2 linked regions of the Rattus norvegicus genome follow. The protein of the gene in region 1 binds, or shares a complex with, the protein of each later gene. Links are inferred from orthologs where the notes say so. Each region holds a gene or a part of one and is shown in the gene's direction. Other genes may lie near its edges.

Region 1 (3,813 bases):
GATTTATTTATTCATAGTGAATAAACAGAAATGCATTAACTTTCATAAGGGATCTATTCAGTGAAGTTTAGAATTCATCTGTAGTTATAGGCACATAATTTGGCTTTCTGTGGTACTTGTTCCGAGAGGTAAAGAGGGTGTGACTGATCTCACGAATCTGAAATGAAACATCAGGTCCCATACCTACCATACGTTCTCCAACATTCCTTAACCTAACCTCACTGTTCTGGAAGTCCTCATTTGCTTCTTCACTCTCTGGTCTGTTGTGGGGCTGACTGGATTTCACACTTTCCTTGTGGCTCTCAACCAGACTACCAATGAAGACGTGAGTCAACCTTCTCTCCCTGCTCTGTATCCTTCTTTCCACCGCCAGTTTCCTTATTACCTGCTAGGAAAGCAAGCATGTGTCCAGGGCCTGGAAGGATGAGACAAATGGGGGAAAAAAGACGTGGATTTGGGAGGTGGTTAAATAAAAGGCAGACAGCCTTTTTTGGAGTGGAATGCCGTAAAACATTAGGAAGAGGTTGAAAAATTGGATAGACATGTCTTTTGACTAGGTATGGGTACTTAAAGACTAGTCAAGGGGTTGGGGATTTAGCTCAGTGGTAGAGCGCTTGCTAGCGCAAGGCCCTGGGTTCGGTCCCCAGCTCCGAAAAAAAGAAGAAGAAGAAGAAGAAAAAAAAAAGACTAGTCAAAGCCCTAGTGTGATTGAACACTCCTATTCGCTTGCTAGAGAGACTGAAACAGGAAGATGTCAAGGGGAAGGCTGTTCTGAGCTGTGTAGTGACAAAGAGACTTGCTTGACTGACATAGCTAGACCTAGTTTCAGAGCAGGCAATCAACAAGATCAAAAAGGGTAGTTGGTGCTTCTAAATTTGGAATGGAGAAGGATAAATGCATCAAATAAATATTTACTTTTAAGGAACTGCCAATTCATGTTCATTATGGATAATGAGAAAATAGAGTTGAAGAAATGAATAAATGCCTGTAACCTTACCTTCTACCTATTGCTTTTTTTTTTCTTTTTTCTTTTTTTTTTTTGGAGCTGGGGACCGAACCCAGGGCCTTGCGCTTGCTAGGCAAGCGCTCTACCACTGAGCTAAATCCCCAACCCCACTACCTATCGCTTTTGTTAATGACATGATTTATAGTCTTCTAAACTTGTGTAGGTTTGATCTCATTTGTTTCCATATACACTATAGTTTAAATTTCATTTTTATTTAACGATTTTTAGTACAATATATTTTGGCCATATTTTTCTCTTCCCTCAACTTATCCCAGATCTTCCCCACCTCCATATCCACCTGACTTCATAGTCTTTTTTTCTTAAAAGAAAGAAAAAAATCAAAAACCCCAAAATTCTAGACCAAAAGTAAAACAAAACAAAAGGCACACTCCCATAGCTCGCAAAACAAAACACAGAATCTGTTTGTGAGTCCAACCAACTCCTGGGCATGGGTGGGGCCTACCCTGGAGTGTGGTTCTTATATCCAAGGACACTCCACTGGGGAGGACGGACCTTTCCTTTCCCTGCAGGCATCAATTGTAAATAGCTTCTTGGTTCCTGGTAGAACTTAGAGTTCTATCCTTTCTCTGTGCTGGCATTTTGTGCAGGTCTTGTGGTGCTGTCACGGTCCCTGTGAGTTCATATGTACACTGTATTTTAAGATAAAAATAGAACATGTACATTTGTGGGTTTTTTACTCTTATATTTTCATGTTCAACTATTTCTTTTGCAAACTAGATTTATTAATCTGTGCACATGTGCACACACAACTGCACTGTGGAATATCAGAGGACACTTTGGTTCTCTCCTTTTATCCTGTGGGTCTTGATGACAACCTGTCAGGCTTGGTGGCAAATAAATGCCTTTTTTTTAAATCCACTGAACTCTCTCCCTGGCCCCTATTTTCTTTTCATTAATTTTGTTTAAAAATGTATACGCCATACAGCATCCATACCATCTCAACCATTTACAATTTTTTTCTTAATTTATTTTTGTGGGATTTTGAGACTACTCTGTGGACTAGGTTGCCCTAGCACCCAGAATCCCATCCTTGGCCTCCCAAGTTCTAGGCTTCCAGGGTGTGTGACACCTTTAACTGTTTTGAGTGTACAGGGCAGTGACATGTAGTGCATTCAGTTTATTGTGTAATTATTGCCTCTTGCACTTCTTCATTAGCCCATACTGCCCGTGTTTCTACAGCAGACTTTTTCAATGTAAGCCTTGGCTCGTATCTTGCAGATCAAAGGATCGTGGACAGGGAAGAACCGTGTGCAGAATCCGTACAGTCATGGAAACATTGTGAAGAACTGCTGTGAAGTGCTTTGTGGCCCCTTGCCCCCAAGGTACTCAAGTAACAGTAATGCCTTGGACGCTCAAACCCATCCCCTTGCCTGCTCTGCTGCATTCTTCTGCATGGAACTTCCTGATATCAACTAAGTCTTCCTAGGAGTTGTCACATGGCACCATATCTACATGAGCCATAAAACCATGGGCTGGCTGTATTGTTTGTTTGTTCCCTGATTAATGTGACATCCTCCAGTTTGTGGAAGAGTAAATGGAGGACAGATGTGTGCTGGGGTCAGGACACATTGCTGAAGGCATGTTTGTGCTTTCTGATGTACAGACCAAGGTTCAGGGGGGACTGAGCTGATAGACAAGTGCATGTCAAGTCTTTGATTCGTTCTTCTGTTTCTGTCAGTGTCCTGGATCGGAGGGGTATTTTGCCACTGGAGGAAAGTGGAAGTCGACCTCCAAGTACTCAAGAGACCAGCAGTAGCCTCTTGCCACAGAGCCCAGTAAGTGTCGCTGTGTAGGTGATAAGAGACCCTGTAGGCCCACTAGACAGCTTCAAAATATAACTGCGATTTTGTATCCTGATTTCTTCAGCTTCCCTGTCTCTGATTATGTCCTGATACCACTTTCAGATCAGTGTACCCTTGACACAGATGAAGATTTACTCATTCCTTAGACACGTATTGATCAGTTATTTGGTGCCAACTACTTTCATAGGTGCTAGGGCTACACCAGCTAGCAAACTGAATGAAGTCCTGCTGGGAGAGCATTTCCTGTTGGGTGGACATGAGGGAGAAGAAACCAGAGCATCACTGTGTGTGTGGCAAGTAGCTTGATTAGGGAAACCTAAAAGGGGCCAAGCTGTGGACAGAGGAGCATGTTAGGTCGGTTAGTGATATACTTACATTGGTATACTGTACATGTAAGCATTCTCCCAGGCACCTAGGGCAAGATATATTTCACAAAATATGTTCCTAAAAATTTGAAATTTCCTTCTAAGACCTTTATTGAGATACAACGTAAATACCATACGATGCCTGTTTAAAATATGCAGTTCCTTAGTAAATGCTTATATGATTGTCACAATTAAATAAAAAAAATTCCTTATCCTCTGTGTTAAGAAACCTTGTATAACTCCCTCCTCACCAAGATACCGTGTGTGTGTGTGTGTGTGTGTGTGTGTGTGTGTGTGTGTTATGGTATGGTATAGGGATGGATCCCAGGGCCTCATACATGCTAGGCAAGCACTCTACCAATGAGGTCCCCAGGCCCCCTGGCATAATACTTCAATGCTGATCTGTGTTATATGTGGCAGTACTTCATTCCTTTATATAGCAGACTCATATCCTCTCACACGGATACACCATGTTTTATCTGTCCATTCACCGTTTCCACATTTTGTTTTTTATTTCTAAAATTTTAGTTATCATTACTATGGTGTGTGTTTATGTGGCATGTATGTGTGAGCCTAGGCATGGGTATGCCACAGCGCACGTGTGGAAGTCAGGTGACAA
Region 2 (4,312 bases), on another chromosome or scaffold:
CCTCCTAACTGCTTGGAAGCCCGTCTCCTCCTGTTTGCCTTTGGAACAAGATGCAGAGCTCTCAGCTGCTTCTTCAGCACCATCCCTGCCTGGACACTGCCATGCTTCCCAACATGATGATAATGGACTGAACCTCAAAACCTCTAAGACACCCCCAATTAAATATTGTCCTTAATAAGAGCTGCCTTGCTCAAGGTGTCTCTTCACAACAATGGAAACCCTGAGACAGTAAGTGAATGAATAAATGGGGAATGTCAAACAAATGAAATTACAAATGGCACAACAGAGGAATCTCAAAATAATCTATATAATAAGAACGAGACCAAAAACTCTGATTCAATTTAAGGAAAATGCAAATTTATTTCCAGTGACAGAAAGGTTAGTGCTGGGCAAAGAGGTCTGCTGAATGACTAAAAAGGATGACTGTAAAGAATAAGGAAGGTTTTAGAGGCAGTGATAATTATCTTGATTGCACTGATGGTTTAAGGGCAAACTGTTAGCAAACTGTGTCCACATTAAGTGACTGGGTTTACGATACACCCTTTTCTGGGACAAAGTTATCCACTTTTGAGACAGGGTCTCACTATGTCAACCCGGCTGGCCTGGAACTATTTAAGTAAACTGGGGTGGCCTTGAACTCAGAGATCACCAGGGAGTGGGCCAGCCTCTACCCAACCCCGATGCTGGGATTTTTAAATGCTATTTTTAAAACCCCGAGAAATCAATTGTCAGTGATAATTGATCAAGTATCCGTGATATTAAAAAGTTGTATTAGAACATCACCACCAGGCGTGGATAGGGATTTTCTGGATGTCTTGCAAAGACAGGGTCAGTAAAGTAGGGAACCAATGAGAGAACTGTAGATACAGTCTGGTCACCTACGCAGGTATAGCTGATGTACATACGTCTCTGGGATGAAAAAAGCCAACGGCTCAGAACAAGAATATTATTCACCTCCCTCCCGCACAAGAGGGTACCAGGGTCCAGACGCACCCCCGGTAGCGCGCTTTGTAGTTGTAAATATAGGTGAACAGTCTGGGTTTAAGGGATTTGGAGAGTGGCGATTGTTTTTGTGGAGGGAGGTGCTGTAGCCCACAGGAAAACTTGAACGCATAGTCAAGAAAGGAAACACTCCTATGATCAGAAACCACTTCCCCACAGCTAACAGAATACGAGTCTCTAACCCCGGAGTCTTTCCAGGAACTCCCGATACACCGATCATATCCATATCCACCTCTTATTCTTCTTCCGCCCGGAAGGGCTTCACCCGCCTACACTAGGAAGACTTCTGTCCCAGCTACCGCGCACCTCTCCGCAGCGCGCAGCCTCGGAGGTATCCTTTACGGCCGGAGGGGGCGGGGTATAAATGAGTGGCGCAGAATGAGTTTAGGAGAGGCAAGGCTTTTTGCGACAGGACGTAAGTGACGACGAACGTGGTGCGACAGCTGCTGGAGGGCTGAGGAGGCGGGTTTGTGTTAACAGGGCCGAACCAGGATGTCGGGGGGCGCGGGTCCTGGGCTTGGGTAGCTGGAGGCTCTCAGCTACAGCCATGAGTGAAGGGGATCGGCGAGGGGGAGGTCTTGGGCATCTTTGGGCGGTGGGTGGCTCCGAAGGGCAGGCGGGCCCGAGAGCCGGCTCTAGGCCGGCAATCTGACCTGTGTCTTGCCCGAACTCGCAGAGCGGCGGGTCCTGTCCTCGCCATGAGGCCGCAGCAGGCGCCGGTGTCCGGGAAGGTCTTCATTCAGCGAGACTACAGCAGTGGCACCCGCTGCCAGTTCCAGACCAAGTTCCCCGCGGAGCTGGAGAACAGGGTACGCAGCCTGGATCCCTGCCCCCGCCCCTGGGGAGTGTAGAGTCCCTGGAGCGGGAGGGAGTGTCCCACAGTTCTGGAGATCAGGAGGCCTTCAGATCCATAGCAGAAGGTCTACGAAGAAGTTACGGTCTAGTATTTAGAGAAAGACTGCTAAGGCTAGTAATGCTCAGAGTGCAGTGGTCTTATAGAACTTTGGGATGCACGCTACCCCTCAGTCCACCCAAGAGTGTCCTTAACAGGACACCGACACATAAACGTACACACACTCAAACATACAGACACGGTTATTGACACCTTATTGAGGTGCACACACATACTCAGTTATTGACATCTTGATGAGGTGCTAATTCCTGGAACTCCGGGCTGCCTCATAACCTCCTGTGGTAGTCTATATCCTCAAAAGACAGCGTCATCGTTCTCATGACTGATATTTGTGGTCACTGTGCTGATCATGATGTTCAGCTGAAAGGGTTTATTAGTGACGTGCTTGGTAGTCCAGACAGGCCTTCTTGGAACCTGAAAAACGTACATTGGCTGGGACAGGTTGTAGCTGAACCAACCCTGCACTCAGTCATAATCAGTGAGAGCTTCCTGTTTGCCTTGCATATCAAAACGGTCACGGGCACAGGTCCTTTGGACAACCTTGTAAACAAAGACGGGATTTGTTTACCATTCCTTCGGATTTAACAACACCAGAAATCTACCTGTGTGCGTGTGTTCTTGTGTGTTCTTGTGTGTTCTTGTGCGTTCTTGTGCCTAGCCCGTGTGATTCTTTTGTTCTTTGGCCGTATTAGTCAGATTCTGTTTGCTGTTCATAAGTCAGTTTCTAGAAACTGAGCCAGGAGGATGAGGAACTTTGAGGTAATTAAGCGTGGTGTGGGTGTGGGGCTAAGAAATGCTGGTTGTGGAGTAGGTGGGTGGAGATGAGTGTGTACCAGAGAAATGTGTACCAGCCATTTAAAATCAGATTGGTGGTTCGTAGGCTGGGTGTGTAGCTTAACGCAAAGAGCCTGTTCTTTCCAGGTTGAAGGCCCAGGGATCTATCCCCAGCATTAAATATTTAGTCAGGACTACTCCCAGCTACTAGGGAGTCGAAGGCAGGAAGATTGAATGTTCAAGGCCAACCTAGGCAACTTGAAAATGCCATGCTCTAAAGTGGCTTGGGAAGGGTGGGAATCCTGAACCTTATTTCAGTGGTAGACCACTTGTCCACCGCTTCCATTCCCAGCACTGACTGTTAGGGCTGAAAAATCACTGATTCATTACCTTGCCCTTAAGTTTGATTTATGCCATAGGCAAGTTAATGGCACAGTTGCCTTTCTCGAACTGCCAATTAAAGATCCAAGAAGCTTTGAAAAGATACTGTGTAAATAGTGTGTGGTTGTGGACACTTGTAATCTGGAACCCGAGGGCCAGAGGGAGGAGGATTCTGAGTTGTAAGCCAGTGTGAACTGCATAGCAAGACCGTTGTCTCTGGGGCTGCAGAGATGACTCAGGGGTTAGGAGCACTGGCTGCTCTCCCAGAGGTCCTGAGTTCAAGTCCCAGCAACCACATGGTAGCTCACAACCGTCTGTAATGGGATCCGATGCCCTCTTGCCTCAGGGAGAGTGAGGAGGGAGAGGATAGCAGGTTTTGGTTGCCTTGTTTGTGACTCGTCATTTAAAGGCCTCTAATGGTTTATAAGTCAGAGTTCTTTGTTGAGCCAGTACACATATATGCGACATCAGGCATTAGCCTTTCATCCTGTGTGGTAGAACCTTTCCTTAATAATCTTAGCTTAAGAAAACCAGATGTAGTCACACAGACCTTTACAGGAAATTGATGTTGCTAAATTCTGCCATCCAAAAGTGGTACTTCATTGACTTGATAAACCGCAGAATTGCTTGTGGTACTGACCACTGTGTGGCATGTGCCTTTGACTATTTTAGTGTCGAGTTAAACACTTGCTGTAAACCACTTGGAAAAGCTTTATGTGTGTGTGTGTTGATTATACATTTAAGTTTCCTTGATTTTGTGTGATGAAGTTGAAAGGCCTCTTTATTTCTCTGCTAACCTAGAAAGACTGGTGATTGTGCTGGCCTGCTGGTAGGCCTGGCTTTCATTCTGAGGGAATATCACACTCGCCAGTGTGCTAGAGAAAGGAACTAATGCACAAGTGTCTCATGTTACATTATACTTAAAAATCCTTGCGAGCTGTTTGAGAGCCCCGAATTCTGTCAGCTGAGCAGTCACTCCCCTGCCTGTTACAGTGTGATGCTTCGATGCCTGAGAGCCCAGCTGCCTCAGTAGTTCTTCAGGTGAACCTGTGTTGTCCTTTTAGCCAACATGTAAGTGTTGTAGTCACCCTTGGTGGTCTTCTGAGAAGAGAAACTACAAATGGACGGCAGTAGACACACATTCTACTTATCTGGTCAGCAGAAGTAACCTTTGACTTGGCGTTGCACTTGCGATCACTGTGGGCTTCAGCAGTGTGCATTTCAACAACAAGACTTCTATCT

Evidence for each region.
Region 2: the proteins of Zdhhc9 (region 1) and Golga7 are in contact, whole or in part, in a cryo-EM structure (PDB 8HF3), measured with the Homo sapiens proteins. The link is inferred for Rattus norvegicus from reciprocal best matches to the Homo sapiens genes ZDHHC9 and GOLGA7. Residues at the interface, in NP_001008223.1 of Homo sapiens: Phe78, Ala81, Arg85, Ile94, Pro95, Leu98, Asp100, Glu101, Phe104, Ile105, Phe129, Gln130, Ile131, Asn132, Ile146, Pro149, Pro150, Arg182, Tyr183, Leu186, Tyr274, Lys281, Cys284, Glu285, Leu287, Cys288, Gly289, Pro290, Leu291, Pro292; in NP_001002296.1 of Homo sapiens: Lys11, Phe13, Gln15, Tyr18, Ser19, Ser20, Gly21, Thr22, Ala57, Glu58, Leu60, Ser64, Tyr65, Gly68, Cys72, Ala75, Tyr76, Thr77, Phe79, Leu80, Tyr86, Glu87, Leu90, Ile116, Arg118, Gly119, Arg121, Val122.

Annotation. Positions count from the first base shown.
Region 1 is NC_086039.1:132,234,786-132,238,598, reverse strand, and holds part of Zdhhc9 (palmitoyltransferase ZDHHC9), read left to right. Parts: intron 1-222; coding exon 223-325; intron 326-2,245; coding exon 2,246-2,349; intron 2,350-2,705; coding exon 2,706-2,802; intron 2,803-3,813. UniProt on the Homo sapiens protein: Palmitoyltransferase that catalyzes the addition of palmitate onto various protein substrates, such as ADRB2, GSDMD, HRAS, NRAS and CGAS. The ZDHHC9-GOLGA7 complex is a palmitoyltransferase specific for HRAS and NRAS.
Region 2 is NC_086034.1:75,468,426-75,472,737, forward strand, and holds the start of Golga7 (golgin subfamily A member 7), read left to right. Parts: upstream 1-1,483; 5' UTR 1,484-1,700; coding exon 1,701-1,811; intron 1,812-4,312. UniProt on the Homo sapiens protein: May be involved in protein transport from Golgi to cell surface. The ZDHHC9-GOLGA7 complex is a palmitoyltransferase specific for HRAS and NRAS.